Lytechinus pictus: one gene and its partners. The protein of the gene in region 3 interacts with the protein of the main gene of each other region in a pairwise test. Links are inferred from orthologs where the notes say so. Each region holds a gene or a part of one and is shown on either strand. Other genes may lie near its edges.

Evidence for each region.
Region 1: the proteins of protein bicaudal D homolog 1-like (region 3) and ras-related protein Rab6-like interact in a two-hybrid assay, tested with the Drosophila melanogaster proteins (3 studies listed by BioGRID). The link is inferred for Lytechinus pictus from reciprocal best matches to the Drosophila melanogaster genes BicD and Rab6.
Region 2: the proteins of protein bicaudal D homolog 1-like (region 3) and clathrin heavy chain 1 interact in binary tests that used the Drosophila melanogaster proteins (3 or more experiments, as listed by UniProt). The link is inferred for Lytechinus pictus from reciprocal best matches to the Drosophila melanogaster genes BicD and Chc.

What each region holds. Positions count from the first base shown.
Region 1 is NC_087260.1:28,909,476-28,920,356, reverse strand, and holds the start of ras-related protein Rab6-like, read right to left. Parts: upstream 4,914-10,881; 5' UTR 4,764-4,913; coding exon 4,694-4,763; intron 1-4,693. UniProt on the Drosophila melanogaster protein: Protein transport. Regulator of membrane traffic from the Golgi apparatus towards the endoplasmic reticulum (ER). Mediates membrane trafficking during egg chamber growth and organization, possibly upstream of exocyst component Sec5.
Region 2 is NC_087246.1:33,380,304-33,391,106, reverse strand, and holds the start of clathrin heavy chain 1, read right to left. Parts: upstream 5,066-10,803; 5' UTR 4,727-5,065; coding exon 4,685-4,726; intron 1-4,684. UniProt on the Drosophila melanogaster protein: Clathrin is the major protein of the polyhedral coat of coated pits and vesicles.
Region 3 is NC_087247.1:56,902,835-56,913,834, reverse strand, and holds the start of protein bicaudal D homolog 1-like, read right to left. Parts: upstream 4,234-11,000; coding exon 4,003-4,233; intron 1-4,002. UniProt on the Drosophila melanogaster protein: This protein is essential for differentiation. It may play a role in localizing of Nanos (a maternal determinant) activity in oocytes. Functions redundantly with BicDR.

The DNA of each region.
Region 1 (10,881 bases), on a different chromosome or scaffold from region 3:
TTTTATAAATCTACTTGCCGAAATGGGAACCAGCGTGTAGATCTACATGTACAAATCAATTCTCCATTTCGGCGAGTCCAGATGGTCAAGGGGTGTGTTCAATGTCAGTTTCCAAATTTGAATGGCAACATGAAACGTGACTGAAAACGAGATTACAAAACACGGATATAATGACGAGAAACAAAGTATGTGTTCAATGTCCTCCATTCCCAGTCTTAAAAGTAAACGTCTTTCAAATCAGGATTCCAAGGAAAATTTAAACGTCGAACAAGATGCGTTTGTTAATGCGATTAGCTCAAATTTTAGGACTTTGAGCATCACGAATGCGACATTCAACACAATTGAGTTTTGAAACATCTTTTAATTTGCTCTCGTAGTGGAAGCCTACACAAACAGGTGCCAGAACTGACCTCTCTTGTGATGGGGCAAAATGCGCACTACTGCTGCAATAACGAAAGCGGGAAATTTAGAGACAATCAACATATAAACAGCTTTATATTTTCGACACTGAACGGTGCACCACTGATTGTGTTTGCGTTTGGTATTTTGTAATTGAGTTTTCAATCATGAACATGTTGCTGTTTAAATTTGAAAATCGACATTGAACACACCCCATGTCTACTAGAGTCTTGGCCTAGTAAGATTTTTGTCAGAAACATCACTGACTACTAAGTATTACAATCATCCCACAAGTAAACTGTCTTTAATCAAATACAGTTAACTGGGACTCAATTTTATAATTATGAGGGGAGCAATAAAAAGCACTCCTAAAACTTTTAAGGGGAGTGGTAGAGGAGCACTGCAAAAAAGTTATTCTTTGACATACAAAAGGTCAGGAAGCTTTTTTGTCCGATTACAAAATGGATGGAATAATGTACACAAAATTACAACCCACAACCAAAGGAGACAAAAAATCAGATGCCTGGAATATATATATATGCAATATAATGATTAGTTAACATGTATTTCATTTTACCTCAATGCATTATGGAACATTTACATATTCTGTGATGAGCTGCTTTACATTGTTATCTTTAAACTGTTTATACTGAATTTACATGTACCGGTATGTTGTTTTTAAAAGAGCCTTTTTAATCGGCTTGTAAAATAAAGATAGAATTGAATCTCATTTTAAATGCGTGTTATTGCTTAAATGTACTGTAATTGTGTGTTATTTATAAAACCTTGACTGAGAATGAGGTTGGCTCTTTACAGAACATCGACTGACACACAAGTGATGTCAGAATAGTGATTAAACATGGAAGTAAAATGTTGTACAAATAATACAAAAGTGTACAGTATGATGTTGCATGATTTCTATTTTTTTTGCATTTCTGCATTTATCATTTTATGTCACAGAAAATCCGTTTCGCTTAGCCTTAGGCCAGTGATAAATTGCTCTACCTGAAATGGATTAAGGGGAGCGGTCGCGAGTGATCACTCTCGCAACCCTTTAAACTGAGTCCCTGAGTTATAAAACACTTTGCTAGTTATTTATCTTAATCATCACTAAAAAAAATAAATCTCACCAGTAAACTGTCTTTAATGTCATCAAAGCTATGGAAAATTCCCTACAGAGTTGTACACACTGGTTCCAATTTCAGCTAGTAGATAAATACAGTTTACTATAGTACATGTAGTGTCAGAAGTGAGATTCATTTAATCAGAATCATCACTGACAAAATAACTCTTATTAGTAGATCTGAACTGTCTAATTTACTCTTCAAAATGGCACCAGCATACAACTCTTTGGAGAAATTTCCATGATGGTTCCCATTTCGACTTACTTAAAGAGGTACTCTGCTCTGGGCTGAAAATAATATGACTTGAACAAAATACAGACAATCAAAACAATGAAAATCTGATCAAAATTGGACAAAGAATAACAAAGTTATGGTATTTTCCAGATTTGCATCTTTCATGTCTTTATGAATATTCAATGAGCTAACAGATGACTGCATAACACCACTTATTCTTTTGTATTTTCTTACGTGTCATTTTTAAAATTATTATTATTATTGATCATCAGATTTTGATGAAATTTTCAGCATGTTGCTCTGCTCTGTGAATTTTACTCAATTAATCTATATAAATATTTTCAGCCCAGAGTACCCCTTTAAGCTCTTTGAGTTTGATGGAATAAGGTAGATTCTAAATTGAGAACAGGAGAAATATGCCAGCAAGTGGTTAATTTGAATATAGGAAGCCACCAGTCGTGCCTTGTTGTTGATTTTCCAGTGGAAATCGCAAAATGGTTTCCAATTTCACGATAATGCCTAATAATGATTACCAATAGCATAATACCATGATTCATTCGGTGCTAATGCAGTTTCGTATCGGCCAACTTTGAGCAAATTTCCCCACCAGACCCGTTGCATATAACTTTTGGCGCACAGCAAGCCTTGAAATAAGCCGGCGCTGAGCGCAAATTCGCGCTCATAAAGCCATCAATTGCGCCCATAAAGCCCCCAAATCATCAAAATTTTGACGGCCGGATGCAAATATTTTCCAGGTAATTGCGCCCATCGTGAGTGAGCAGTGAAGCCATTTCATACATGTAATTTAAATATCTGAAAAGCCAAAATCAAGTAACTTTCAATTTACGATAAGCACAGTTTCAAATTGCCAAGTGCATCTTTTTTTCTGTACCATAAAAATTGAGCTACGTCCGTCTTTTTTTTTCTGTAATACATGTGCGCGCGTGATTCCGGTAGCGGTGACAGTTTTTCCATACTTCACCATGTGCAATTTCTAATGCACACATTTCCAGTTGGGATATCACAATTCTGTGATATAGTAATTCGAATTGCACAGGAGATAAATCCCTGTTCACAGCACATACGATGTACGAGTCTTTTATCCTCACAGTCGCCGACTTTGCTTGTCAAAACGGAGCCTTAATAATCCAAAATTACTTAGCTTATAGTTGTGAATTATTCCGTTTCAGATAGAGTTTAGATTTCATGTTAATTTTTGAAAACTGTCAAAAAACTTAATGATTTCTTCATTGTGATGAATATTTAAGTTATTAATGAATACATTTTCACAGAATTTAGACTCCCAGAATGAAAGGCATTTTTCTGTGGAGATCTGCATTTTCAAATAACTTGTGAAAAACTTAAGGTACATGAACCTACAATACATGTACATAGCCTGTGCCTGTGTGCTGGAATTTGAATAGACTGAGTTAGATATTGATTTCATTTCTTTATTTCTTTAACATAATTTATATGCAATCCAGATGCACCTCACAGTCACAATCACACACAAACACTCACCCACACCCGTGATTCTAACCATGAAAAAAACCTTAAAATTTGTATATTTTTTTCTAAATTTATTATTATTTGATCTGAATTCTCTCTTTCTCCATCTCCCTCTCTCTCTCTTTTTATATTTTTATTTTATTCATTTATTTAGATTTTTTTTTTTGGGGGGGGGGTTCATTGTTCGTGGTTCATTAAAGATGAAAAATAAATAAGCCCATGTGTGTGTGGTTGTGAAGGGGATGTGGAGTGAGGGTGTCAAAACACACTTAAACATTTAAATCTGATTTCTTAAATGTTTGAATAAGCCTATTACTTAGCATGCTATTCATGTACTAATTAAAAAATTGCAGGAGCTGCGCTTACTATAAACAAATTTGCAGTGTGGTTCACCGTTATATATTTTTTTTTTTAATTGCCCCTGGTTCCAGAAAATTGCCCCCGGTTCCTGTAAAAAGCCCGTGAGCCGGGGGCAATTTTTTTGAAAAATTGCCCCTGGTCTGCAACTGCTTATTTCAAGGCTTGGCGCACAGGAATATCAAGGCACAGCGCATGCAACACTTCCATGGGATTGCGGGAATGTGCGAATTGTTTATTAGATTTTAAATAAAATCAGTTTTCTATGAAACTTAACTTACCTAACGATATGTAGCAACTTTCCCCAAATATTTGTCATTTATACATGTACATTTAAGCACCGATTTTCTTCTCGTTGAAGAATGTTGGAGCTTACTCGCCGATTCCAATTTTTGTCTTCCCCAACGTTACGCGACGCTCGTGTCCGTAACGTTGGGGAAGTACAATAAGAAACAAGATGGCGGCGTAAACATCGGGCAAGTCTCTTCCGTCTTTTCACAATATTTTTTCATTTTTTTGATGAATTCTTGTTTTAAAAATAACAACGAGAGCGTAGAAATGTCGGAAATTAAGTTTTATCCCATGTACATGATTTAGAGCTAGATCTTTTAGAAGGAAAGTAGAAATCTCGGGGGTGAAGGTTTCAGGTTTTGTCTGGCTCTGTGTGGGTCTATGAGATAGAAGGCCTGGCTTCGTACGAGAGTAACCTTACGTTACTCGTTAGTAAATGATTTTTACTCTCTAGAAGCCGCCTGGCTAGTCTCGGCCCTCGGGGGCGAAAGTTTCAGGTTTTTGGGCGGTGTGTGTAGATGTATGGGAAGCAATTCCAGGCTCCATTGCATTGAGGGTAAGCACACGTTATGATTTTTACTCTCTAGGAGCCTCCTGGCTAGGGTAGAGTTCCTGTGAGAAACTGCATTAGCGCCGCATCATTCATCTGTTACCCGGTACACGTATTATTTCTACATAGACATGCATTGGCAATGGCATTTGCGTTGGATACGATATCATACAGCACACGATCACGAAAAGGGGGCCGGGCGTCGCCAGTGCGATACCGGCAAACTTACCACTCTGCTCGCCAAGGAAAACAAGCTTGAATTTCCTCAAAGGATTGCTGAAATCTCCGGAGGAAGACATCCTAAGTTGTTAATTTGGGGTTCTGAAAAGATAACCTCTTAAAACGTTTTGAAATCAAGCAAAAACAAGATATTTGATGATCTTATCTCTTCTGGATTCTCGGAGGTATCTTCGCCACGTTATAGATTCTGAGGTGTTCGGCGCATGCGCACTTAATGGATGCGTCATCTCGGATTATAAAAAAAAATAACTATATCAAAAAATAAATAGAAGCATTCCTGAAATAAGGTGAAATAACAATGATTTAATAGCAAGCGATATTCAAGTTAGGTGTTTCCCGGCATTGTAATTGGGAAACTTCACATTTGAGGGCTTTCACAAGGAACACGGTCAAGAAACATGTTGTTTTTTTATTTGTAATTAAGCAACAACAACAAAAAAGAAAATTGAGAGACTAAAGATTAGAAAACCAAGGGATAGAAGAACTTCGGAGAAGAAGAAGAAGATGATGATGAAGAAAAAGAACTTGAAGAAGAAGAAGAAGTAGAAGAAGAAGAAGAAAGGGAAGAAGAAGAGATCGAAGAAGAAGATCAAAGAAGAAGAAGGAGGAGGAGAAGAAGAAGAAGAAAAAAAGAAGGAGGAGAAGAAAAAGGGGAGTGTATACTTAAAGTAAGAATTCGGACACAGAAAATAAACTTTGAAAATGCCTTATAATTAAACGAGCAAAATAATGAGGACTAAAGTATGATGATCATGTATGTATGTCAAGTTCATGCAGACCACAATCACTTACCATCCAGTAAGTGGGAATAGCACGCAGAACATCAGGCAAGTTGAATAATGGGGTTTATAATACTGCCAAATGGGGAAGGGGTGTAAAAAAAGTTTTATGGCCAACAAAAAATGCTCTTAGTTCAATTCATATCAACGATTATTTGATGCAAAGAGGGAAAGGAATGATTATGAATAATTGAAAAAATGAAATACTTAATATATTGTTACATGAGATTAAATCTTATTTCAAGTCGATAAATGGAAAAAATAGTTTAAAAATATGGGTTTTTAATCAACAATTCATGATATACCTTCTTATGTAAAGAAATTAGGGTGCTATAAGGTATTTGAGGCATTATTTTGTGATCAAAGGTTCTAGTGTAACCCTTGCAACAAGGCTATGACATACTATCGGGACCAAAATTATGTTATGAATTTATTGAGCGTCCGAGCGCGAGATTTCGTGTTTTTATAATTCACAATATTTAGCAGGTTTTATAATGCATTTTTGATACGGCTATTTGATGATAACACTACATATTTTCTTTCTCAAAAGTAAGGGGATACATAGGCCATCGCCATCGGGCGGTTACATTTACCGGAGTCTGGGATGGAGGGATATTCTGAGCTTACCTGTAAGAAGTCCCTCCCGATAGGGGGCCGGTGTAAGGTAGGAAAAGCCCGTGAAGGGGGGGGGGGGCAAATAGTTCGGAAGTCTGAGATACGGTGGTGTTCGAAGCCTTGAAGAAAGAGGGTTTTTTCAGGGGGAAGAACAGATTGGCCACAGTGGCACAGCCAATCTGAAACGGATTATCCGAAAATGAGTTTGTATTACATTCATTGTTCAAATATTGTTACATAATTATTATAATCGTTGACTTTGATCATGACTTTTATGCCCATTGTGTTTACACTGTATGTATTTTAATCGTGAATAAAATAAACTAACCATTCAAATGATTTTTTTAGATCAACAGAGCTTGGTGATATCATAGGCCTACATCAGCTTGAAATTCTTGATGAAATAGCGCCATCACGTGTTTGAAGAAAATCTGACAGATGGAGAAAGATCGATTACTATATATAAAAGGTCAAAATATTATATACAAATAGCCAAAGTTGTATTTTTAATGGAAGAGATTCTACAAGCTATTTTCATGTGGAAAGAGGGGTAAGGCAGGGAGATCCGCTTTCACCATATCTTTTCATTTTATACATAGAAGTATATTATAGCGCATAATATAAGATATAATAATGATGTTAAAGGAATTTCCTTTGGAAAGGAAGAAGTAAAACAGATTATGTATGCAGATGATATCTATTTTTGTCCGAGATCTAGATTCAGTCAAAAAAGTAATAAAAATTTTAGAAAAATTCAGAAAAGTATCAGGACTTAAAGTTAATAGCGATAAGACGAAGGTTTTATTATTAGGTTCCTCTGAAGGAAAATAATATGATTTATCTTTTGGCCAAAATGTGGATTTTATAAAGATTCTCGGTGTATTTTTTTCTTTAGATGTAGAAGTAAAAGAAAGATTGAATTATAAAGAAATATTAAGTAAAATAAAGAAGTTGTTAAACTGGTGGAAGTAACGAGATTTAACTTTGATGGGCAAAATACAATTATTAAAGCAATTTATATTTTTAAAATTCATATATGTGGCATCTCTCACACCAATCCCAGGATGGGTTTATGTTGTACTTGATCAGTTGGCTTTTACTTTTTTGTGGGGTGGCAGATTAACAAAAGATTAACAAAAGAATGATGTATTTAGATTACCATCAAGGCGGCTTGAAAATGATGAATTTTCAATGGTTAATAAAGGCACAGAGAGTTATGTGGATTAAAAGACTAAAAGAAAATAATGCAATGAAATGGAAACAATATTTCAATTATTCCACAAAACATCTGGGAGGAAATTTTATATTTTCATGCGATTACTTGCTCGGATTGATGGAGATAGCATTGCCGCAATTTTATATAGATTTGTTAAAAAGTATGGATAGAGACGAAGAATTAAAATCTAAAACATTTAAAGGAAATGAGATATGTTTTAACAATAATTTTTTTACGAATTGAAGGGAAATGCATATTTAACCAAAAAATATATGAAAAAAATATTTACAGATTGAAACATATGGATTATGATGGAAACTGAAGGTCATTTTCGTACTTCCGAAGACAGGGTTTAAACATAAATGATTTTCATTTGATAGAGTCAATTTATAAAACTTTTCCAGTCAGCTGGAAACGAAATATGAAAATAGATAGCAAAGAGGCTTCTTTTAGGGAAGAAATATCATTTATATCTGGAAAAAGAATTTTGTCAATAGAGGAGTTAGTATCTAAAAACGTTTATGCAAATTTTATGAAATGTAACTTCGCAATACCTGATGTTTTCGAAAGGTTAAAAAAACAAATATAGTTTTTCTTATGAAAAGATTGAACACATTTTTGTGAGACCAAGACAATGTACTCTGAACAGTAGATTAAGAGAGTTTCAGTTTAAAATGTTGCACGGCATTGCTTATACAAATTATCACTTGTTCCGTTTTAAATCTCACAGAATAATCTTTGTTGTTATTGTAAAAAAGAGGAGGAAACATATCGCCATCTATTTTTGGAATGTGAATATGCTTGTCTGGTTTGGGATAATTGTAAGGAGATGTTTGGTTTTATTTCTACGGGTAATTTAAGCTGGGAGGAAATTCTTGTAGGTGTAGAATTAAAGGACGAAGGAAAGGAACGTTTAGTCAATTATTTGTCAAATTTTTAATCTTCAAAGGGAGGGAAAAGGGTGCACTTATAACCATGGATGAAATTAAAAGGAAATTTAAAGAAGAAGAATGGGAAGAAAGAAGACTGGCGCTAGGTAGAGGTAAGATGTCTCTACATTTAAGGAAATGGGAAAATCTTAATTAAAAGAATGTATAGGGAGAGTGAGGCAAATGTATATATACAACGAGAGACAAAACCACAAAACAAAATAAACAAAAACACAGAAAAAAATAAAAAACAATACGGAGAATTGTAGTCCCTTCCATGTAGATTATAGGCATAAAAATGGGAGGGTGCTCCTAACCTGGGGACGGGGGGGGGGGGGGTTAGGAGGTAGAACAACACTTTTTATCTTTTTTCCCTCTCATATCATTTCACACATCTTGTTAACATTTCATTTTGTAATTGCTGAAACGCATTAGTATTAATTTCTAGTATCTTTGAAGTTTGATGTATAATTTGTATAATTATATTTGTTATGGATTTATTGTATAATTTTAATCATGTTTCAAATAGTTTGTACAACTTGCTTATGGAATGTGAATGTGTATTTTGATTTGAGAGAAGGCAATACAACATCCTTAAAAAAAGGAAAAGTACACTGTAAAAAAAAAATCTGAATCGGTAATTAACACTTAATGTAGAATTTACAATTTGTAATTATTTTTCGTTTTTTTAAGTAGTTTTAACTTGTCTTTTAATTTACTTGATTTACTTGATTTATTTGGGTTCAATATACATTAAAGAAAATTCACATATTGATAGCTTGCTTTGATTGAGTAAATCTAACTCAATTAGGCAAAGATGAGTATTACTTATAAAATCAAGTTGAATGTACTTATATTTTTCAATTAACGCCATATTTAAATAATGCATGAATATTTATTAGAGCAAGTAAATGTTTTTTTTTATTAATAATTGTCATATCTATTTGTGTTTGAAATTGTTTTGGATAAGGGTGTGCTAACTATTTTTTTCTTATGTTGAATCAAAGAAAGAGCAACATTAAAAGTCATTTAGCAGAAAATTTCAGATTTCTTTTTAGGTTTTCGATGCTTATAAATTATTATTCTCACTGTTTTATTTGTAAGAATGAAACGATCACATATAAATATCAATGTCAGTACCTGTACATGTACAGGTAAGTGACAATGCACAAAGTCTAATGTTTGGATATATCATGTCTAAGATGAAAATGATGCCACCAAGTGGGACGATGGGGGAGCGGAATCCCGAAAGTCCACTCCCCCATTTGTGATTTTTTTCACTGATATTTTAGTGATTGTTTTACTTAATTGAATTAAGTTATTGTAACTTAATTATTGTAACTTAATTTTGAGTAAAATGGATGCAAAGAAAATAAGTAAATTTTACTTAAAACTGCCATAACTCATAAATACTCGAACAAATTAAGGCAGTTTCTTAACATAATTGAATTAAGTAAATAGGGCGGTATTTTTTTTTACAGTGTAAGAAGAACGGCCCTCATGATTTTTCAAGTAGATAATACAAGGGGAGAGAAAAAAGAGAGAAATGAAAGGAGAAAGGAGTACAAACATGTTCATTATGAAAAAAATATATATATCACTTCGTCGATCCCCATCCCCTAGGAAAATATCCTGGCGCCATTGGCCTAAATCTATAGGGAGGAGAGAAAGGGCGGGTGGGGGTGGATATCATGGGTGTCTGAGCAGAGGATTATCCTTTGTCCATGTGGGGATATCTATTTTTGTGCCCCCCCCCCCCCAACACATAATCCTCTAGCTGCTCCAGCACTGATGCCAATGGATATCGGGATATCCCGCAATTTTCAGGGAGGGTATACAGTCTGTACAATCATTCCCGAATGATATCAGGATAGAGTCATTTGGATTACACTCTAGGAATGATTTTTTATGTTAGAATACGTAAGACATGATATGGAATAGCGTAAAAAAGGATGTTGATATGCCGCAATTAAAGGGGAATCCAGCCTTGGCCATAAAATTAATGTTGTGTTGGGAAGGAGAAAAATAAATTAAACAGAATGGTAAAAGTTTGAAAGAAATCGGACAAGCAATAAAAAAGTTATAACTGCTTTATGTTGATTTCAAATTGGCAACTCGGTAAGTAAATTATGACAAGGGGCAAGGACAACTTTCCCATAGGCCATGTACTTAATTATCATGGGATTTGTGGTTTTCTCCTAAGTACCCATTCCCCTGGGGCAGTAATCTGAATATAACCCAGGTAGGATATTGTTTTATTTCCTCATGAAAGAAAAATATAATTTGAAATAAAACTTTTGGGGAAAATGAAATTTTAGCCATTATATGTATTGGAGTACAAGGAAGAGTAGTCCTTGCCTTACGTCACTATGACATCTCATTATGCGGCCAATTTGAAGTCTCCATGGGTATAGTGATTACCAATATTTACAACTTTTAAAAACATCATAACTTTCTTGTTGTTGGCCCAATATTGTTCCAACTTTCACCTATCAACTTGTCTGATTTTTCTTTTTCTTATAAAAACAAGTTTTTATTTGGGTTGGATTCCCCTTTAAGTGTGCACAGTTTTGATAGATGATAGATAATACAAGGTGAGATATGGGGAAAAAACCGAGCCAATAAGATATGACTATTA
Region 2 (10,803 bases), on a different chromosome or scaffold from region 3:
CTTATGGCCCATATTATCATCGCAACCAGTCGCAAGACAGGTCTCTGTACATGAAGGTCGCTTGCGCATGTGCAAGTGTTGTACGACCTCCAGTCAAGTAAATGCGACTACTTAGTTGTGCCACCTCTCGCACCAAGTCATACAACGTTGAACAACACTCGCACGATGATCGCCCGACCGATGGTACGACCCCGGGTACGGCCTGATGCGAGTGAATCGATCGTATTTGATCGCGTTCGGATTTTGAACATGTTCAAAGTTCAGATGCGACCAGTCACGATCACCTCCGACCACCTCGAGTTTGTGCGATCGTCTACAACTACTGCGAGTGCTCGCAAGACGCCAAGAGATCGATCGTGCAACACTAAGAAAAAACTGTTGCAGGCGGTCGTAAACTGGTCGGACGTCAATTGTGAAAGGGGCTGAACGGTCGCATACATGCGAAAGCAACGGTAGTGGAATGTTGTAAGCCGTAATTTCGATCGGTCTTGCAACAGTCTTATATTATCGCACCCAGTCGCAACACTGGTCTCTGTAGGTCTCCAGCACATGTGCAAGTGTTGTACGACCTCCAGTCGACTAAATGCGACTATACTTAGTTGTGCCACCTCTTGCACCAAGTCGTACAACGTTGAACAACACTCACACAATGATCGCCCGACCGATGGTACGACCTGTTGCGAGTGAATCAATCGTATTTGATCGCGTTTGGATTTTGAACATGTTCAAAGTTCAGATGCGACCAGTCACGATCACCTCCAACCACCTCGAGTTTGTGCGATCGTCTACAACGACTGCGAGTGCTCGCAAGACACCAAGGGATCGATCGTGCAACAACAAGAAAAAACTGTTGCAGGTGGTCGTAAACAGGTCGTACGTCAATTGTGAAAGGGGCTTTTAAGTACATGTTAGAGTCACAAACAGACTTAACAACATTGTCGTGCCCACACAATGGGATTATAATGTTACAAGCAAATAAATTCACATTTTTTGTAAGAAAATTGAGATATACATGTACATGTTCGATGTATTTCCACAGCTCTACTTCTTTGAGTTTAAATTCAAAAGCACTGGAATATTGAGATCATTTATCATAAGGACATCCTCCCATAATGCGACCAACATGTGTGATAGTCTGCAGGCACAGACCCTGATTGGAACTTTGATCAACAAGTGTGCCTCCATGCAAAGACTAGCACATACAAAACTTGCTGTTCCAATACCTGAGCGAGAGAGCCTTCAGTACACAAGGCATGAGTAGGCTGCACATTCAGACCCTTAACTCGAGTGAAGGGTTTGCCCAGCAGACTACATGTATGATGTCACACTTGTACAACTACCCAATTACCTTTCTGAATATTGAAAATTGTCACTTTTATAAACTCTACTAGAGTTCAATGTGTAAACTCTTAGTACCATTTTCACACTGGCTTCACAAACCGCTACAGTCTCTCGACTGTAGCAGTGTTGCCTTCAGTGTGAATTGTTGGACCCGCAATATACTACCCTGGGATAACCTTGCCTTGCTGTAACTCCGCAACAAACTTTTGCTCTCACACCATAGTAATAGCAGAAGGACAGAAACGCGACTGTCGCAGTGTTCCTTCAGTGTGAAGGCACACTGCTACAACACTGGGATAAACCACTTGTGATTTGTTTACTTTAATACCAATGTACATGTATTCTACATAATGCATAATTCTACATTATGTGTGTGGAGCTAACTTCTTCTTCGCTGCCACTTTCTTCTTTTCATATTTTTCATAGTTCATGAGTCCTAATCTTTGACATAATAAAGTAATAGATTACAATCTGTTCTCTGTAACTGAAAAATAATGAAAATAATAGCAAAACGTAAAAGAATAGGTCTATAGCTCCATAATTGCCAAAGTAACTTAATTGGCTCACATAAATAATCAAGAGTGGGCAGAGGATCTCAAGCAACCCCACCCTCAAGCAGCACTTCCAGTCTATCAGAGTCGGGTCACTCACAGGGACACAAGCCTACATGTTTGCTAGGGAGGTAATGAAAATCACCTGCTGCAGTGTGAATGGTTACATAAAATTTTATCCCGGGATAATTTTTCTACTGTGAATGCAGTCTTAGCGGGTTAATAGCCAGTTTACAGCGGTGTCGTCGTCCTGCGACAGCACCAGGATAAATTTGAAAACCAGCGCGAAGATGATATGATAGCATTCAAAAGTAAACTCTAATAGAGTTTATAAATATAATAATAGTGATGATTTACTCTCTATCATGATGAATCACATGTTTTGTTTTGCTTTTTCATGGGAGGACATGTTATAGGGGTTCCATAGAATATATCATGGACGAAGAGTTTATTTACTATCATTTAGAACAAACAAAATACATGTAGGTGGAATTGGAATAACAAATTTGGATGTGTACAGGGGGGGGGGGGTGCACTTCCATTGACCAGTGGATATCATGCAAGTCAATGGGGTTTTAAAAAAAAAACACACCCTAAACAAGTATTTTCTATGATCATATTAAAACGCACCCCCTTAACGATAGCAGTTTAAAGCCCGACCCTTAACCAGAATTGGGTAAGAAACCCTGCCCTTAACAAGTATAAACCCCCTAGTTACAGAACCCCACATTTATCAAGTATTCCCACTTGCATGGACTGGAGTATCGAGGATAAATCACCCTTCAATCGGTCGGAGGTAAATTGCCAGGAAAAATTGGACCCTTAAAACTCAATCTTGTTAGCACAAAAGGTATAGAACTCGTCGACCCTTTTAAAAAATACATTCTAGTTTTTACAGGGTTGTTTGATTTAAATCATGTCGATTTAAATCATGATTTAAATCACGATTTAAATCACTTGATTTTTTTTTTTAAATCACTGATTTAAATCAACTTTTATGAAAAAAATTAGTTTTCTCTATTTTCTCTTCTTCTTAACAGATACTTTCAATGTAATCATTTTCATTTCTGTTCCACATGCTTTAGAGATACTTTAAAAGAATGATACACCCTCATGGAGTCTGATTTAACACCACTGTTTTATTTTCAAATTGTAAAACAAGCAAAACTGATGAAAACAACAAGTTTCTAACGAAGTAATGATAAATAACTCTCTGTATGTACACCAAACTGTTAAATCTTCAATAAAATAATATATTAAATCTACAAAGGTGCTCAAAGTCCACAACTTGGATACTTTTACAAAACAGCTGAACTACTTGTATGTACCTCCTTCTTGTTACTATTAATACCCATTCTTTCAATTACTTAAGTTGCAAAACCCTTAGTTTATTAGCTATTACCAGCTGTTAGTTGGGAAGTCCCCCATGTGATAGTTCTAGGAAATATTCCTAGCTAAAATCCCCCATGTGATAATTCTAGAAAATATTCCCAGCTAGAATTCCCAAGGGCAGTATAGGAACCCTAACAGGCCTTTAATAATGTCAATTTTGTTGGAAATTCTCAAGTTCTTTGAGTACTTCATGCATTGGAGTAACACTTTGGATGTTTTGGACTGACTGATTTAAATGTATACATAATACATAACATTACTTGGGCTTCCATAAAATGTCCCTCTCTATAATGCAAATAAATTATTTAAAAAAATAAAAAAATAATCTGTATATAAGTGGATTATTGTGTCAAATAGTACAATACACAATGTTCAAAAGACTACTTGACCACTATTATTGGTGTAAAACAGTTTAAATATAGTTTAAAACTTGTTAAGTGTGACCATTATTTTTCGTTGAAAAAAAATCAAAAAAATCTGATTTAAATCATAAAAATCCGATTTAAATTAAAAAAATCAGATTTTTTTGATTTTTTTAAAAAAATCAAAAAAATCAACAACCCTGAGTTTTTATCACCCTTGCAAATCACACCCTCTTCCAATCTCGTATGTTACTGCATTAATATCTGCAATCTGCATCAGATCTTCCCATAACATGTCATCAGCATTTGTTTTCTACACCCTTCTTACTTACAGTTACATGTCGTACATACATGTATCTTTTTCTACGTTTTATTAAATAACTAATCCACTTGTCAATGGAAGTGCCCCCCCCCCCCCCTGATGTGTCCACCAATTTTTGTTGCCGCTAAACGTCGGCCCTTGATTTCACAGCAAATCGCAATATTTCTACTGCTCCAATTCTTCAGACGTCGCTGTATATCACCAGGAGCTGGACATAGAGGAACAGAGGATCCTGCGTCCAGGACTGAACGATGAACCTTATGTCTGTTACCAAACCAATGCCGAAAATGGAGCCATTTCAAGTTTCAAATCAAAGTTTTTACTCAGTTTCAACTTTTAACTGGAGTTAACAATCTGACATTAAATGCCATGCCCATGGCAATGGTCTGTTTGTGATTAAAATTTATGAATAATGAAAAAGCATCGATAACATAATTCTACCGACAGTTTACAAAACTTTTCATTTTACACAGAATTACTGGACAAGAGCAAAACATTCATCAAAGAATTTCATTAGACTGTAACCCGGCGTTTATCCATTTGGAGGGCGTGTATCTCTCATTGCCCACACACATGACCGTACACACTCCGTACATTCACCGGATCTTACTACATGCAGTGGAGGATGAATCACACACACAGAGGCCATACACGTTACACGTAAACGATACAGAAAAAATAGACTTTACTGAAACCTGTGAATACAAACGGCTTACCTGCAAGTGCTCCTGAAAGCGAATGGGCAATACTTGCGACATCTTGCTGGATTTCAATATCCACTAATATATTAAAGTTATTATTTCTACAACCTGAAGAATTTGGAAAAATCAAAGAAATTTATTAACGGTGTACCGGCCAAACGGACTCATGCAGGCCGACATGAGTAGAGAAGAATCAAGTAGTTCCGGATTAAATATTTTATATTCATCCTATGATATGCAATTTCTTATTGATGGAATCATCATAAATCCGAAGTACCTTTTTATTTCATTTCAAGTTTTTTATTATTACGCTTGAAATATACATTCCATTTGGATAGGAAATATGGAATCACTTTCCTATAACTACATTCTTACGCAGTGATTTTCTATCACTGCGCTTGCCACATATTGCCAATCATCATCGAGCGAGACGCGAGCGCTAGCGGAGCTGAGAGTTGTAATTCAGTCAATTCATCGGCATTCGCTTGAGAATAGCTTCCGGGTTTCTGACTCGAACAAGTCGCGATTTTTGTGGTCTGCTAATGAAAAGTTGCCAATAAAATCAATAATTTTAGCAAGACCGTGTAAATCTAGCTTACAAAACTCCGAGGAGGGGTAGAGTTTAAGGCAAATTTACTTAAAATGCGTAGTTTCATTGCTTATATTCATCTTAAAGGGAAAAGCAGCTATCAAAACATAAAATCCTGTAAAACGCATGAAAATGATCAATACGATTTGTATATACCAATCCCGGATATCAATTCTTTTTTTTCATACAGATTGTACATGAGATACTATAATTTTCTAAATGTCATTGTTAGCATGATAATGATCAGCCAGGTAAAGTATCAACGACGAATAATTCTATGCTATAGGCTGTTAAGATTAAATGTAGTCAAATTATGGGGGTAATGTAAATATGCAATCAGGATCAAAGGGGGCGGAACCCGTATAGTGCAAGCAGACGACATGTCGATAGTGAGTTTCGGCCTAGTACTGTGTATCGAGAATGTGATGGGGCTGTTACTGCATACAACTGATCAGTGCTACATTTTCTCGAATTCAGCTTTGTCCCAGAGCCTGGGAAGCGGGGGTGCTTCAACACCCCCCCCCCAAAAAAAAAAAAAAAAATTCCTGGGGGGATCATCGCTGCGTGTATTATTCTCCATAGACACAGCACCCTCAGGTATGTGCAAAAATGGGAAAATGTAACCAAAAAGACCTTCATAATTCTTCTGGAACAATTTGACCTCCATTTTGTTTTGAAACTTTTTTTCAAAAAATCGTTCCCGTGGCCCTGAATTCGGCCCAACTTGAACTTTGAAATTCCCCCACTGAAATTGGTGACCATAGAATAAAACCATTTATCTACTTTGGATCGAATTTACACCCATATACAAAAAAAACCCTTATTACATAATTAAAAAATAACCTAATTATGCATGCATAGGAAAATCTGCATGCAATATCATCGGCCAATGATTCATTGTTCTATGTAAAAATGACTGATGCCAATAAAAAAGACTAATCCGACAAATAAATGTCAATTAGATTTTGATTTTACTTTTTGATTGTTAATGACTTTCTCTAAAGGCCTTTTACTTAAGGAACCAGGCGTGTGAAAAGGAGAAAGAAAAGGGGAAGACAAATGTCATGATAGAATTTCATATCATTTAATTCATTTCCACGAAAACAGCAAAGTAAATACAGTATTCACATTTTAAAATCATTATGAAACATACAAGTCAGGTAATTTTTTAAAAATTTAATTACTACAATATAACAAAAAAGGGAGTTTAATGTAAATAAAATTATGAATAATAAATAGCTATCTTATGGGGGAAACATTGCAACATTATACATAAGCATGTGAATCAGATTCCTTAAATCATAAATTGATTAAAATGATCCTATAATGCCCAAGTAGTTTTCTGCGTCATTTGTAGGTTCTCATTTGAATATAGGACTATACTACCCAAACAAAATAAAGTCCACCAGACCAAAAATTGACTTGAGTAAATGGAAAAAAATTAAAAACAAACGTCTCTTTCATGAACCACGGATCAGGGGCGATGGAACGTTATTACGTTGGGGGGGGGGCACAGCCAAAAGAGGCACTCATTATGTAAAAATTGGCATTTTGGTGCAAACGGATATTTTCCCCATGAGATTATCATCTGCGTGAAGTACTTGTGTGTTTTGTATATGAAGTTGAGAAAAGCATTATTGAAAACATTTCTGATTGATGAAATTTATATTTAGGCTTTATTTTTTTCCTCGAGAGAGCGTGGCTAACTTTTTTAAATTTTTTTTTTTCAAATCTGAAGTTGTAAAACTCGCTTTATAACTTTTGAGCACCACTTCACTTATACAGTGTCTCCAAGAATTATTAATTATTCGTTCACTACAACATTGCAAGATGAGAAGATGGACTATATTTTTTTTTTTTTTTTTTAAAGCAGTATTTCTGCATTTATTAATAAATCAAAATTACAAATTTATAACAATGATATAAAATGAAACATACATACTGATCAAGTTACAAAGGTGACAATTGTATAGTAGTTAAGTAGATATAATAGACATAATATTCATGTAAACAATAACAAATGAATGTAAATGCAGAGGCCAGCTATCGTAAGCTGAAAGCTTGAAATAATAGCAGCCAGGGGAAAAGAGGCTACATGGAAACCATAATAAAAATACCGAGTCTTTATTATTTAAAAGTGATGTCACTTATATAGCTTAAAATATAATAAAAGGAAGGGGGGGGAAGGGGCAAGATGAAGTGTGTGCAAGTGAGTGCGAGTGCAGGTGATAATTTATAAGTATTTAGATAAAAGGTACCTCTTTAGTGAAGCTTTAAATGATATAAGAGATGCAGCTTGTTTGATATCATTCGGAAGGTTGTTCCAAACATCCGGGCCGTGATGCCGTATTGTTTTGTGAGCAATTATTAGTTTTGGGTTTGTTAAATGAAAGTCAGATGAATGTCGAGTAGGGTATGAATGAATGTCTCTATTATAGACAAAAATATTTCGAAAGGGTGTTGGTATAGTGTTGGTGGAAAATTTGTACATAAAAATAGCAGTTTGATAAGTGTGAATATCGTAGATCTTCAATGTTTTAAAATCATGAAATATAGGATCAGTATGAGCGAGATAATGGGAGTGATGACAAATGCGAAGTGCTTTCTTTTGAAGGCGCAATATTGAATCGATTTTGATTTTGTTACTATTTCCCCATACAATATTACAATAAGATATATACGATAAGATAAATGAGTTATAGAGCATAAGTAACGATCTTTGAGAGATATAATATTTTAATTTATACAAAATGCCTATGCCTCTTCCTGCCATCATGCTTATATTACGAATGTGACTACTCCAAGTTATGTTAGCATCGATCACTACACCTAAAAATTTAGTTTCTTGTTTTTCGTTAATGGGTATATCATTGATATAAATATTATCGCGAAATATATGTTTAGAATTAATGTGTTTGAAGTACATGAAATTTGTTTTATCTATGTTAAGTGAAAGTTTGTTTGATTTAAACCATATTGATAATTTCTTTAATTCTTGATTGAGAGTTGCATCAAGTATGTTTAAGTTGTGGTGTGAATAAAATATGTTGGTGTCATCTGCGAATAAAACATATGTAAGTAAGGGTGATGTGTTCACAATGTCGTTCATATATATTAAAAATAATAAAGGTCCCAGGATTGAACCCTGTGGTACTCCACATATTACGGGGCATATATTAGATGATTTGGATTTAAAATTAACATATTGGCGTCTATTAGCTAAATAATCTTTAAACCAAGATAGTACGATCCCTCTGATTCCATATGTCTTTAGTTTACTCAGTAATATGCGATGGTCCATTGTATCGAACGCCTTCGATAAATCCATAAAAACCCCAATAGTGTGCTCCTTTTTTGAAAGTGAATCAGTTATTTTATCATATAATTGTAAAATTGCATAATCGGTTGAATGGTTTTTTCTGAAACCATATTGATTGGGGATTAATAATTTGTTAGTGTCCAAAAATGAGTATAAACGATTGTAAACAATTTTTTCAAGTATTTTGGAAATGCTTGGTAACAGTGAAATAGGGCGGTAGTTTACAATCCGACATGGGTCATCTTTTTTATATATTGGAATAATTTTGGCAAGTTTTAGCGATTCAGGAAAAACACCTTGAGAGAGAGACAGATTGAAAATATGTACAAGTGGAGAAGCCAGGAAAAAAATTATTTGTTTAAGTAGATATACACTTATCCCATCATGGCCACTGGATTTGCTGGGTTTTAAGGATCGAACAATTTCTAACATTTCCTGAATATTTGTAGGGTTGAAAAATAAGGAGTGTTCGTTATGGTTATCTAAATATTGTGAAAAATCATGGTCATTGGTAACAATTTTCGAAGCTAGGTTTGGACCAACATTAGTAAAAAATGAATTGAATGCGTTTGCAATAACACTGGGGTCTCTGATGTGGTCACCATTTTCTAAAAATTCATCATTGTCTCGATCATCTTTTTTCTTACCTAGAATGTCATTTATTGTATGCCATAAAGTTTTGTTATTGTCTTTATTGTTTTCAATTTTGTCTGAGAAGTAAGATTTTCGTGCTAAACGGATTACAGATGTTAATTTATTACGATATTTTTTGTATTTATTTTGATGTTCTATTGTAGGTGATTTAAGTGATATCTTATACAATCTATTGCGAGTAAATATAGATTTAATTATTCCTTGAGTGATCCATGGTTGTTTATTCTTCTTTTTGTTTGAAGTTATTTTTGTCAAAGGTACGTTTTTGTTGTAATAATGAAGAAGTTTGTTTATGAATATTTCATATGAATTGTTAACATCCTGCTCTTGATAAACATCTTGCCATGTTTCTGTAAACAGATCTGTTTTTAGGGAATCTATGTTGCGCTTGGTCTCTTTTCGTCGAGTAGTGTGTTCTGTGTTGCATTGTTTATGTAAGCGATAGGTGCTTGAACATATCGTGAAAATAGGTAAATGATCAGAGATATCATAATATATTATTCCATTATTATTGGTATTAAATACATTTGTAAAAATATTGTCAATAATTGTATGTGTCGCATTTGTTATCCTCGTAGGTTTATCAATGAGAGGTTTAAAAGAAAATGATGACATCAAAGTGATCATGTGTTGGCCGAGGGCAGTATAAGGTATTGAGAGATCTATATTAAAATCGCCCATGATGTAGATGTCCTTATTTTCACGAGATACAGTTTCGAGACATAATTCTAATCTATCTAGGAATATATCAACAACGCTGTTTGGTGGCCTATATATTACACCGACTATTTTATTTTTATGTTTATCATCGATAATTTCTATGAATAAAGTTTCTAACCCGTCAAGTTGAATATCGTCCCTTATTTTATAATGCATATCATTGTGAATATAAAAAGCGACCCCACCTCCCTTACCTTGTTTACGATCTATATGGTTAAATGTATAATTATCAATTTCGAATATGGGAGGGGTTGTTGAGTGTAACCACGTCTCGGTCATACCTATAATAGAGAATGGAAATTTATTCAATATATTTAAGAATTCACTGAAAGTTTCAAAGTTCTTTTGTAAGCTTCGAATGTTTATGTGCATTAAGCTAAAGTGATTTGGTTTATCGTTTCGATTTTTAGTATTAAAAGCTGAAATAAATTCTTTAGCAGTGTAATATTTGCTCTGGGGGGCAAATACTTCATCATTAAATATGTCATCCAAATGAGGTACATTTTGGTTTGCAGTACGATTGGGAGTGCTCGGTGCGTGCAAGGTGCTAGGAGGGGTGCATGTGTTTTGCGTTGAGTGTATAAGGGTGTGTTCACGCGTGACGGTCTGACATACTCAAGGCTAGTGGCAACCTGTATTTTGTGACATTTGCTACAAAAAAATTGGGGGGGGGGGGGAGAAGGAGGAAAAAAGGTAAAATAGCTGTTTGCAAATAATTATGTTAAGATAAAACATAATGTTCGTGGGATTCTATTACCCTCAACAAAATGGGCAACATTGCCTGGAAAAAGAATTGAATGTATATACATAGTACAGCTGCACATGGTTTTGTGTACACTCAGGAAACTGAAC
Region 3 (11,000 bases):
GTATACAGTTTTCTGGTTCAAGCTTAAAGTTAACTTCAGTTCAATTAACCCTCTTAGAAATAAACATTGTATTTTTAAAATACTAGATCAAATTAATTGAAACTGATATGAGATTGTCATTTAATGTCACAAAAGATATGAAATTGATAGCAAGTTTCTCAATCATAATCAAGGTCAAAGGTCATTTGAGGTCAGCAAACTTTAATAGTGCATTTTTTCTTCCCTTTGCGAAAAATTATTCATCTTGATTGTTTTCAAAGTCGCCCATTATACATGTAATATTGTTATTTCTTGCCCCTCCCCATGTTTTCGGGGGTGGAGGGGGGCATCTCAGAAATAAATTAGTAATATAACATATCTTGTTCCTGGACCTGATTTCCCCATTTTTAGACTCAAGCCAGTGCCATAGCTGCTGGTGGGATTAGTCTGCTGTGCAAACCTTGTCTGCAGGCACAGACCCTGATTGAAACTTTGATCAAAAAGTGGGTCTCCATGCAAAGACTAGAATATAATATCTTGCTGTTTCCTGAGCAAGAGGGCCTTCAGTACACAAGGCATGAGTAGGCTGCACATTCAGACCCTAAACTCGAGTGAAGGCTTTGCACAGCAGACAAGGGCAAACCCTTCACTCAAGGAAAGTGGTCTGAATAAGCAGCCTAAGGTTTCTGCCAATGACTTGTGTACAGGAGGTCCTTTTGTTCAACAGAAAGTTGTATTCGTGCTAGTCTTGTGTGAAGTCTCACTTGTGGATCAACGTTTCAATAAGGGTCTGTGCATGCAGACTACATGTAGGGGGCAATGTTCTCTTAATAACATGCTATTATATAATGGCAGGTTCTCACATAAAAAACAATAACATTTAAAGACAAATGAAAAAAAAGTGTAATGCAAAGTATTATTTTTTTCATGTTGAATTGAAAAGCTTCATTTTGTACATAATGCTCCATCATGTTACTACATATACCGGGTACATGTACTATAATGTATTTATGTACAGTTTGATGAATATTTTATACCCTAGGCAATTTAAAAAATGAAGAATAGTAAAAATACAAATGGAAAATATGATATTTTAGGATATCAATTTATAATTTTGCATTTAAAAAGAGAATTTATCACTTTTTGTGAAAAAATGAAAATTCCTGAAAATTCCCGAAACTTTAAATGGAAATTTTCCAAAATTTCCGGAAAGTTTCCAGTCCTTTGCAACCCTATTCACCTCCCTGTTTTATCCGAACTTATATACATAAACATATGGCCATTGAGTCCCCTGTACAGATCGCGCTAGAACTTCGGTCTCTGTATTTGGTGAGTGAAGCCAACGGAGTTCAGCTGAACAACCAACATAACAGAGACCGAAGCTTTTGGTCTAATTTCTTCATTGCCATGTATATTTCAGTTATTAATGAGTTCATTCTCACCAAATTTAGACTCCCCCATAGAGAAATGCGATTTTCGTGGAGATCTGCATTTTCAAAGAACTTCAGGAAAAGTTAGGGTATGTGGGCCTTTATTACATGGCCGAGTACAGGTTATTGTACTGGAATAGATGGAGTAGAAATTAGATATTGAATTCATTTATATCCAAGTTCAACTCACAGTCACACCCACATCCAAGATTCTAAGCATGAAAAAACTAACTTAAAAAGTCATACAATATTAAAACTCATTAATAAGTGAACTGTCAAAAAACCTGGACTCACAATGCAGACTTCATGTTACCGCGTTCGCACTCATTTTTTCCCCTGAAAATTTTGCGCGATCTTTTCTTTAACACTACAACGCATTTGATTGGATTAAATACAGTACGGTAGATGCAGAGTGGGACATGTGGGAGGAGCTACATGTAGCCTGGAGGCGTCTGGGGAGTAAAAGTCATCTACTCTACGTAGGCTTACTCCCCACTTACGCCTGGGACGCCAAGGTATATTCACGCAAGTACGGCCACAAAACCTGAAACTTTCGCCCCCGAGATTTCTACTTTCCCTCTAAAAGATCTAGCCCTAAAACATGTACATGGAGTTCAACATTTCTGCGATATCGATTTTGGTTTTAAAGAAGAATTCAATAAAAAAACAAGAAAAATGTTATGAAAAGATGGGAAGAGCTTACGGCCGTCTTTAGGTCGCCATCTTGATTTCTTTGTCTTCCGCTTGGCGACAGCACGCAAATTGCGCTGTCGCCAAGCGGAAGACAAAGAAATCAAGATGGCGACGTAAACACGGCCGTCAGCACTTCCCATCTTTTCATAACATTTTTCTCGTTTTTTTATTGAATTCTTCTTTAAAAACAAAATCGATATCACAGAAATGTTGGAAATGAAGTTGAACCCCATGTATAGTCACGTATAGACAGGAATAACCGTCGTTTCTGGGGATTTATTCAACAATTTCTGACATTTTACTATAATCCCCATTTGTGAGTGAGCCAACGCAGTTCAGCGGAACAACCAAAATACAGAGACTGAAGCTTTTGGTCTAAGTCACGTATTGTATTACCGGACACTATTATGTTACCGGACGCGCGTATCACTGCGTTCTAAAACAAATTCGTACCGTAAGACTTCCGCAATTCAATTTCACAGAGCAATACATAGAACAAGATTGCAAAAACAAGGCGAAAAATCAAACTTTTACCTAATTATCTCTAAAAATTACAGAAAATGCTTAAAATATCATATAACATAGTTTTGTATTAACAATTGATATATTTTCTAACGGAAATATGGTCCTGATTTGCCGAATTTCAATCTCGTCCACTCCTTCGATCGAATGATGAGGTGTGGTGTATTGTGGGTGATCGTCGACGGCTAGTTCTCAAGGTACCCGTGCGCGAGGTTTACCGTGAGTAGAGCCGTCGATTGGCAGCGCATCGATAGAACTTGATGAGCGTCACGATACGAACGCGAGCATATTATTATTGGAAAGTGCCATGGAACATGCAGCTAACAAGACAAAATAAAATAAGTTATCAAACACGAATTTATTACCAACATCTGCTCAGATTCGATATAAAAAAAGCAAATAATACTTAGAATTTACTCATGATATGATATAAGAAAAAAATCACAAAAATTTGTTCTTACATCATTATAATCAAGGATATCTTTACCCGTCCGGCGCGCGTCCGGAATCATGATGTAATTTGTCGCGCACAAAAATAATTGTTTTTTGTGGAGGGGTATGCGACAAGTGCGATGCAAAGAAAACGGTTGGTAAATATAAAATAATTTTATCATATTCATAATTTTCATATTTGGAATAGCAAGTGTGAATTTTTCTTGATTGTATTTCCTCTAGTTGTCATTTTTAAAGCACTGAAATAAAGGTGTCCGGCAATGCCAATAGCCTAGGATACACTGCCATACATGTTTTACTTAGGGCTAGATCTTTTTTTTTTTAGAGGGAAAGTAGAAATCTCGGGAGCCAAAGTTTCAGGTTTTGTGGCCGTACGTGCGTGAATATACCTTGGCGTCCCAGGCGTCAGTGGGGAGTAAGCCTACGGCTACGTAGAGTAGATGACTTATACTTCCCCAGACGCCTCCAGGCTAGGACTCTACTAGGACTCGGAGTAGGAGCAAGGAGCTGAAGATAACACGAAATGATGATAACAACATGGTTATCAGAATACCGATTTGGGGGTATGTTAGGGGCGTGTTAAATCAGAGACATAACAACGATATTTAACACCAAAGTTAACACGATTTTCAGAATACCGCCCCACTACTAGTAGTAGGATGGGGGATCGGGTGTCCGGACACTTTATATTTTTGAAGCCTTCTTTTTTGTCATTGGATTACACTACAAATACGAAATCAATAGTTGTAATCATCTTCTATTTTGTTCTCTATAATATTTCCTGACATTTTGTACTAAAAATTGATAAAACTTTCCTTGTAAATTTTTCCAAATGACTTTCTAAAATTGATCGTCCGGACACACAACCTGTCCGGACACACAACAACTGGGTATACACTACTAGTACTACTAGGCCAGGGCCTACCTCTTTTGCCATCTGAAGCTCCTGTTTACAAGTTTCATAGAGTAAATCAAGGTCTTCATATTGCTGCTTTATTGCCTGCTTTTCTTCAAGAACAACTAAACCGTATTCAGCAGCCTGTATTTTCTCTCTGCTGGCCAAAGCGAGTTCCTCTTTCAAACGGCTGATTTCAACCCGTAACTCTTCGATGGTTTCCGAACCATCGTCCGAGTCGAACATGGCGAATGACTGCATTTTCAACAGCAAGTGATACCGGTAATGTTGGACTTGGAGCCGGCTAGACTCGGGTGGCCTGCACTCCTTGGCTCTGTGGTGACAATACCACTCGAGTTTCACAGTCGATCCACAAGGTTAATGACGAATCCAGCGTCCTGGACTTCACCCGTTTTCATCCTTGAATTTTGGAGATCATTGTGCTTCTTATAAAAAACAACACCGATGCTGAAAAGGTGAAATTTGAAGGTTTCTTAGTCCTGGGTCTATGGTACAATCGCAGACTCGCGACAATGCAACATACGGGAATGTAGTGAACGTTTCCTACGCGCGCGCATTATGCATTTGATTTATAGCGCAATATGCGCTAGCGCCAGGAAACTCTGCATGAGTCGGTTTTGTATTAGCAAAGATCGGGGGCGTATCCGCCCAGAGATTCCGAACTAGCTCAAAACCACATCTCTATGCTCAAAACTGAGCAAGCGCATCGCATCCGTACGTTTTCTCTCTGGTCATCGATATCGTATCTGTACGGTATGCCGTATACACGGTATCTGGAGCTGGAGTTCACCCCGCGTGCGTCTGCGCCATGGGCCATAGGTTTGCGCATGCATATAAGTGGGCGTGGGCGTGTCCTTAAAAGCCGTAAGTGGTACAATTTTAACGTTAGATATCTACTTTTTATGAAAAATAAATTAATGAGGAATAAAACAAAAATATGATGGGGCAAACCCCTCAAAGCAGCGTCCTTATTCGATAGCTCCTCTGAGATTGAATGTTCGAACAGTTTTTCCTCTCTACTTGAGGACAAGTCTCCCTTCTTCGCACCAATTGCTATATGTCCTCACCAACGAGTACGAGTGGTGACAAACCTTCACCTTCTCGTAAGAAGTCCCCGCAATCTGGTAATAGGAAACTGAGAGCTGTAGTCATCAATTTCCAAGGTCTCAGAAGCAAAGTCGAACCCCTATCCAATCTTATAAATTCTGTTCATCCAGATATAATATTTGGAACTGAAACTTGGGGAAATGATACTATTTCTAACTCTGAGCTTTTTCTAACACATCTTGATACGTATGGCGGAAAGACCGCAATGATGGTCATGGAGGTGTCCTCATTGCAGTTAGGAAAACGCTGCTCGCAGTAGCTCTTCCTGAATATGACGCTGATTGCGAAGTACTTTTGGACTAAGCTGAGGTCCCATGGCCAGAAAGATGTATATCTCGGAGTGTTTTACAACCCCATTATATAATGATCCTAATATGGCCTCCCTGGGCTTGAAGTTTCCTTGGGTAAACTTCCTCCTGATGCTTACAAGGTACTTGCTGGTGATTTTAACATGCCGGACATTGATTGGGACTCTGATTCAGTCAAGCCTTGCCCTGCAAGAGTCTACAAAAGTAGTACCCAACCATGCACCCTTCTTCTTGATATTGCTAGCCACCATAATCTCCAACAGGTCGTGAACTTCCCAACGAGACAACAGCATATGCTAGATCTTTTATTTACTACTAATCCTACATTGATTGACTCTGTTAAGCCGATTCCAGGGATCAGCGATCATGATTCTGTTGTTCAGATTGACTTCACTGGTACTGTCAAACATCAAAAAAGTAAAGCTCACAGAGTCTACAATTATAAGAAGGCAAACTTTGATAAGATCAGAACTGAGCTTTAGTCCTTTTCTGAAGAATTCTTCATCAACAGTCCTGGTACCAAGTCTGTCAATTTGAACTGGGAATCATTGACATGTAAATTGACATACCTAAAAGAGAAGTATATCCCTAGTAAGATGAGCAGTACTAGATTCAACCTGCCTTACATCACTAGGGAAATTAAGAGCAAGATCAGACAGAAGCATCGTGTATATAACCGTGCTCTCAAAAGTCAATCTCAGGAAGATTCCCAGTGAGCAAAATATATGGGGCCCATATGGGTTACTTGTGGGCTTATCAGGGCTAAAAATGTGGGCCCCATATGGGTTGCCAATGTGGGCTATGTATGGGCCCATCTGGGCCCCTTGTGTTTTTTGCACCGTACACCCCGTCTGGGGCCCATATGGGCCAGGGTTTCGCGTGGGGTAAATATGGGCAGGCCCACATCGTACCCATGTAAACCATATGGGGCCCATTTGGGCTATGTATGGCCCCACTTGGCCAATCTGGGACCCATATGTACACCCTATGTGGGGCCCATTTGGGCCAAGTGGGTTTAGTGTGGGTTGAATATGGGCAGGCCCACATTGCTCCCATATGGGCCCCATATGGATTTCCCATGTGGGCTATGTATGGCCCCACTTGGCCCATCTGGGACCCATGTGTTTTTTGCACCGTACACCCCGTCTGGGGCCCATATGGGCCAGGGTTTCGCGTGGGGTAAATATGGGCAGGCCCACATCGTACCCATGTAAACCATATGGGACCCATTTGGGCTATGTATGGCCCCACTTGGCCAATCTGGGACCCATATGTACACCCTATGTGGGGCCCATTTGGGCCAAGTGGGTTTAGTGTGGGTTGAATATGGGCAGGCCCACATTGCTCCCATATGGGCCCCATATGAAAACAATACTGTGTTTTTATATGGGTCCCATGTGGGCCATGTGGGTCCACGATGTTTTAATCAATTAAAAAAAATATATTAATTTGTATCATTAAGGTGACTTTCTATACAACCCAATACTCTAATCCTTATCATTTTATCATATCCTATAATCCTACATTCTAACCCTAAATCCTAATCCTATCCTATCCTACACCTAACCACTGAATCTTGTTATTGACTTCTATATATAGAGCGAGTTTGCTATACTTGACAGGCTATGGTTAATAACAATTTTCAATATTTAACCTTGAAAATTTTCTCCTGAAATTAAATGTTTTGATTTTTAATTTCATGGTAATAAATTACATACTTTTCTGAAACTTTTCATGGTGGAATCCTTGCTTAAACATAAACATATTAATTGTTGTAGCCGTATTAGCTAAAATTTTGATCATTTACTGTTGTAATGAATATTCATGAGTGCAGTCCAGATCGATCATCCAGAGATATTGAGCTCAGATGTGACCCATCTGGGTCCCAGAAGGCTTATCTGGTACATATGGGCCCAGATATAACCCAGATGGGTCCCACATATTTTAGCCCATCTGGGTCCCACTTGGAAATGCCCATCTCCAGCCCAGATGATATTCATCTGGTACATATGGGCCCAGATATAACCCAGATGGGCCCCATGTGGACCTACCCACTTCTAGCCCATATGGTTTCCATATGGGCCATATGGGTCCCAGATAACCCACATTGGACCCATATGGGTCCCAGATATTTTGCTATCTGGGCGTGTTCTCCTTTGAAAATTCAAAATTTTTCTTTATTTTAAGATGCACGATTAGAACCTAACCTGTGAATTGTAAGATCACAAACATTTTTTTTTATCCGTAAGCTATTTATCATCAATCGAATTAGCCGTATACATAGGCCCGGTACATAGGGTACCCGATAAATCCCTAAAATCAACACTAAACATGTGATTTCTAGAAAAGGCAGGCATTCCAAAGCGAACTTTTATGGGGTTGAGTTCTCATCATAAGTGTATCAAAAAATGTGAAAATGAAGAAAATCTTTTTTTTTCTTCTTCTTTCCCCCCCCCCCTTTTTTTACCCCTTCGAGATTTACCAACAATGTGAAATATACCTTGATTACTATCTATGTCGAGCTTTAAAATACATGATCGGATTTTAGTGTCAAGTAACAAATGCAAAGGCTAAGCCTAACCTACTAATTAACATTTATCAATCAAACATGAAAATAAAGAACGGATTTTGTCAAAAGCTAGAAATATCTATGAAAGATATAGGTTATTCTCATATTTGGGAAAACCTAAATGACCTAAACGACATCAAGTTAAATCAGTGGGTACAGTTTCAGGAAGATAGATACTGGAAGAGAATTATTGTAGTAAACTGAGAACGTATATAAAGACCTTAAACGTAGGCCCTACATAGAGAAATATTTATAACTAGACATTGATAATCTATAAGTTAGGAATTATTTGAAGATAAGAATTAGCAATTGTAAATTTATGAATGAACAAGGGCGACAAAAACAACTAGAAATCAATCAACGTACTCGCGCCCATCCTTAACCCGCAACAAGAAAAATTATGATAATAGGCCTATACCATAGTGCCGTCATTTAGAGAACTGAGCGAATCAGGTTACTTCTTGTACATCATGCAAATAAAAGTAATGATTACGATATAAGTAAAATTAATGTAACTAAATAATATGAGTAATTATAATGACGGACTATGATACACTCGTGTTAATAGATGACGCCATGGACGTGTTGTAATGACTTAATTGTAATATCTTGAAATCAGTAAGAGTTTGGCAAAATGTTTAATAATGTATTTTCTTTTCGAATGAACACATATTTTGGCGATTGCTTATATTTACTTGTATATATATATACTGTATATATATCTGTTTTGCCACGTTCATTATTTATCATATTTGATGACAATCCTAAACTGTGGATTTTATTTGAATAAATTGATTTGATTTGATTTGAAATTTCAATGTTCTTCAAAACATTTTTTTTTGACCAACCGTGTTATTTTGTTTTGAAATCCTCCTAATATAGTGATTTACCCCCCCCCCAAAAAAACAAAAAAAAACAAACAAACAAATTAAACAAAACAAAACAAAAACATACACACATTTTGATAGTTTTTCTTCTTTTTATGAAATAATTCCCCGTGAAGTGATGAGTTAACCATTCCCCTGCACAATATCTAAAAAAGGCGAGTGCGAATTAGCGTGAGCAGATTTTTTCCACGATATAACGGCCTATATTGTTCCCAGCCCCCCCCCCCCTCGTCTTTTTCTTTAATGTAATAATAATAATAGTTGGGCATTTATAAAGCGCCATTTCCTTTCGGTTACATGCAAAGCCCGGTCTCTCTCTCTCCCACTTTATCTTTTCTCTTTTCCTGTCCACTCTTATTTTTTTCCATTTCCTCTCCTTTTTGTTTTCCTCTCTTTTTCCTTCCCCCCTGATTTTTAGACCACCAATATGGGGGTGGGGGGGGGGCGGTCCCTTCGGCCCCTGTATCGCCAATGTATACATACAGACCCATTCGATACACAAATGTGTGTGCTACCTATGGATTTATTATGTGTCTATCAGTAGATTAATAGATTTATATCGGACCACATCGCCTACAGAGATACTGCTTATGGCCAATTATTAGTTCTACTATTTTATGTGGGTTGTAGTTTGGAGGATTCATTTGGCCCCGTATGGGTTTAATATGTCTCAATCTTGGCTTAGGCGATAAGCCACACCGCCAATATAGATACCACATGTAGCCTATTTGGTTTTATTTCATGGGTTCCAGGTAGAACCCAGATGGGGCCAATATGGGTTTGATATATGTCTCTATCTGGGCTCAGGCGATAAACCACATCGCCCCTATAGATGGTGCATGAGGCCCATATGGTTTACTTATTTTTTGGTTTCAGGTAGGACCAATATATAGGGCCCATATGGGTTTGATACGTTTCTTTCTGGGCTCAAGCGATCCAATATACATACAAAGTGGGGCCCATATGGTTTTACTTCGTAGGTTCTTGGTGGGAAGACCCATATAGGCCCCATATGGGTTAGATATGTCTCTATCTGGGATCAGGCGATAAGCCACACCGCCCATATGGAAACAACATTGGGCCCATATGGTTTTATTATATGGATTCGTGGGAGGACCCATATGGGCCCCAAATGGGTTTTATATTTATCTATCTGGGCTCAGTCGACCCAGAAATATGCCACTTCGCCCATATAGATACCACATGGGGCCCATATGGTTTTATTATGCGGGTTCTAGGTGGGAAAACCCATATGGGCCCCATATGGGTTTTATATGTTTCTATCTGGGCTCAGTCGATCCATAATTATGCCACTTCGCCCATATAGATACCACATGGGGCCCATATGGTTTTATTATGTGGGTTCTAGGTGGGAAAACCCATATGGGTTTTATATGTTTCTATCTGGGCTCAGTCGATCCATAATTATGCCACTTCGCCCATATAGATACCACATTGGGCCCATATGGTTTTATTATGTGGGTTCTAGGTGGGAAAACCCATATGGGCCCCATGTGGGTTTTATATGTTTCTATCTGGGCTCAGTCGATCCATAATTATGCCACTTCGCCCATATAGATACCACATGGGGCCCATATGGTTTTATTATGTGGGTTCTAGGTGGGAAAACCCATATGGGTTTTATATGTTTCTATCTGGGCTCAGTCGATCCATAATTATGCCACTTCGCCCATATAGATACCACATTGGGCCCATATGGTTTTATTATGTGGGTTCTAGGTGGGAAAACCCATATGGGCCCCATGTGGGTTTTATATGTTTCTATCTGGGCTCAGTCGATCCATACTTATGCCACTTCGCCCATATAGATACCACATGGGGCCCATATGGGTTTTATATGTTTCTATCTGGGCTCAGTCGATCCATAATTATGCCACTTCGCCCATATAGATACCACATGGGGCCCATATGGTTTTATTATGTGGGTTCTAGGTGGGAAAACCCATATGGGCCCCATATGGGTTTTATATGTTCCTATATGGGCTCAGGCGATCCATAATTATGCCACTTCGCCCATATAGATACCACATGGGGGCCCATATGGTTTTATTATGTGGGTTCTAGGTGGGAAAACCCATATAGGCCCCATATGGGTTTTATATGTTTCTATCTGGG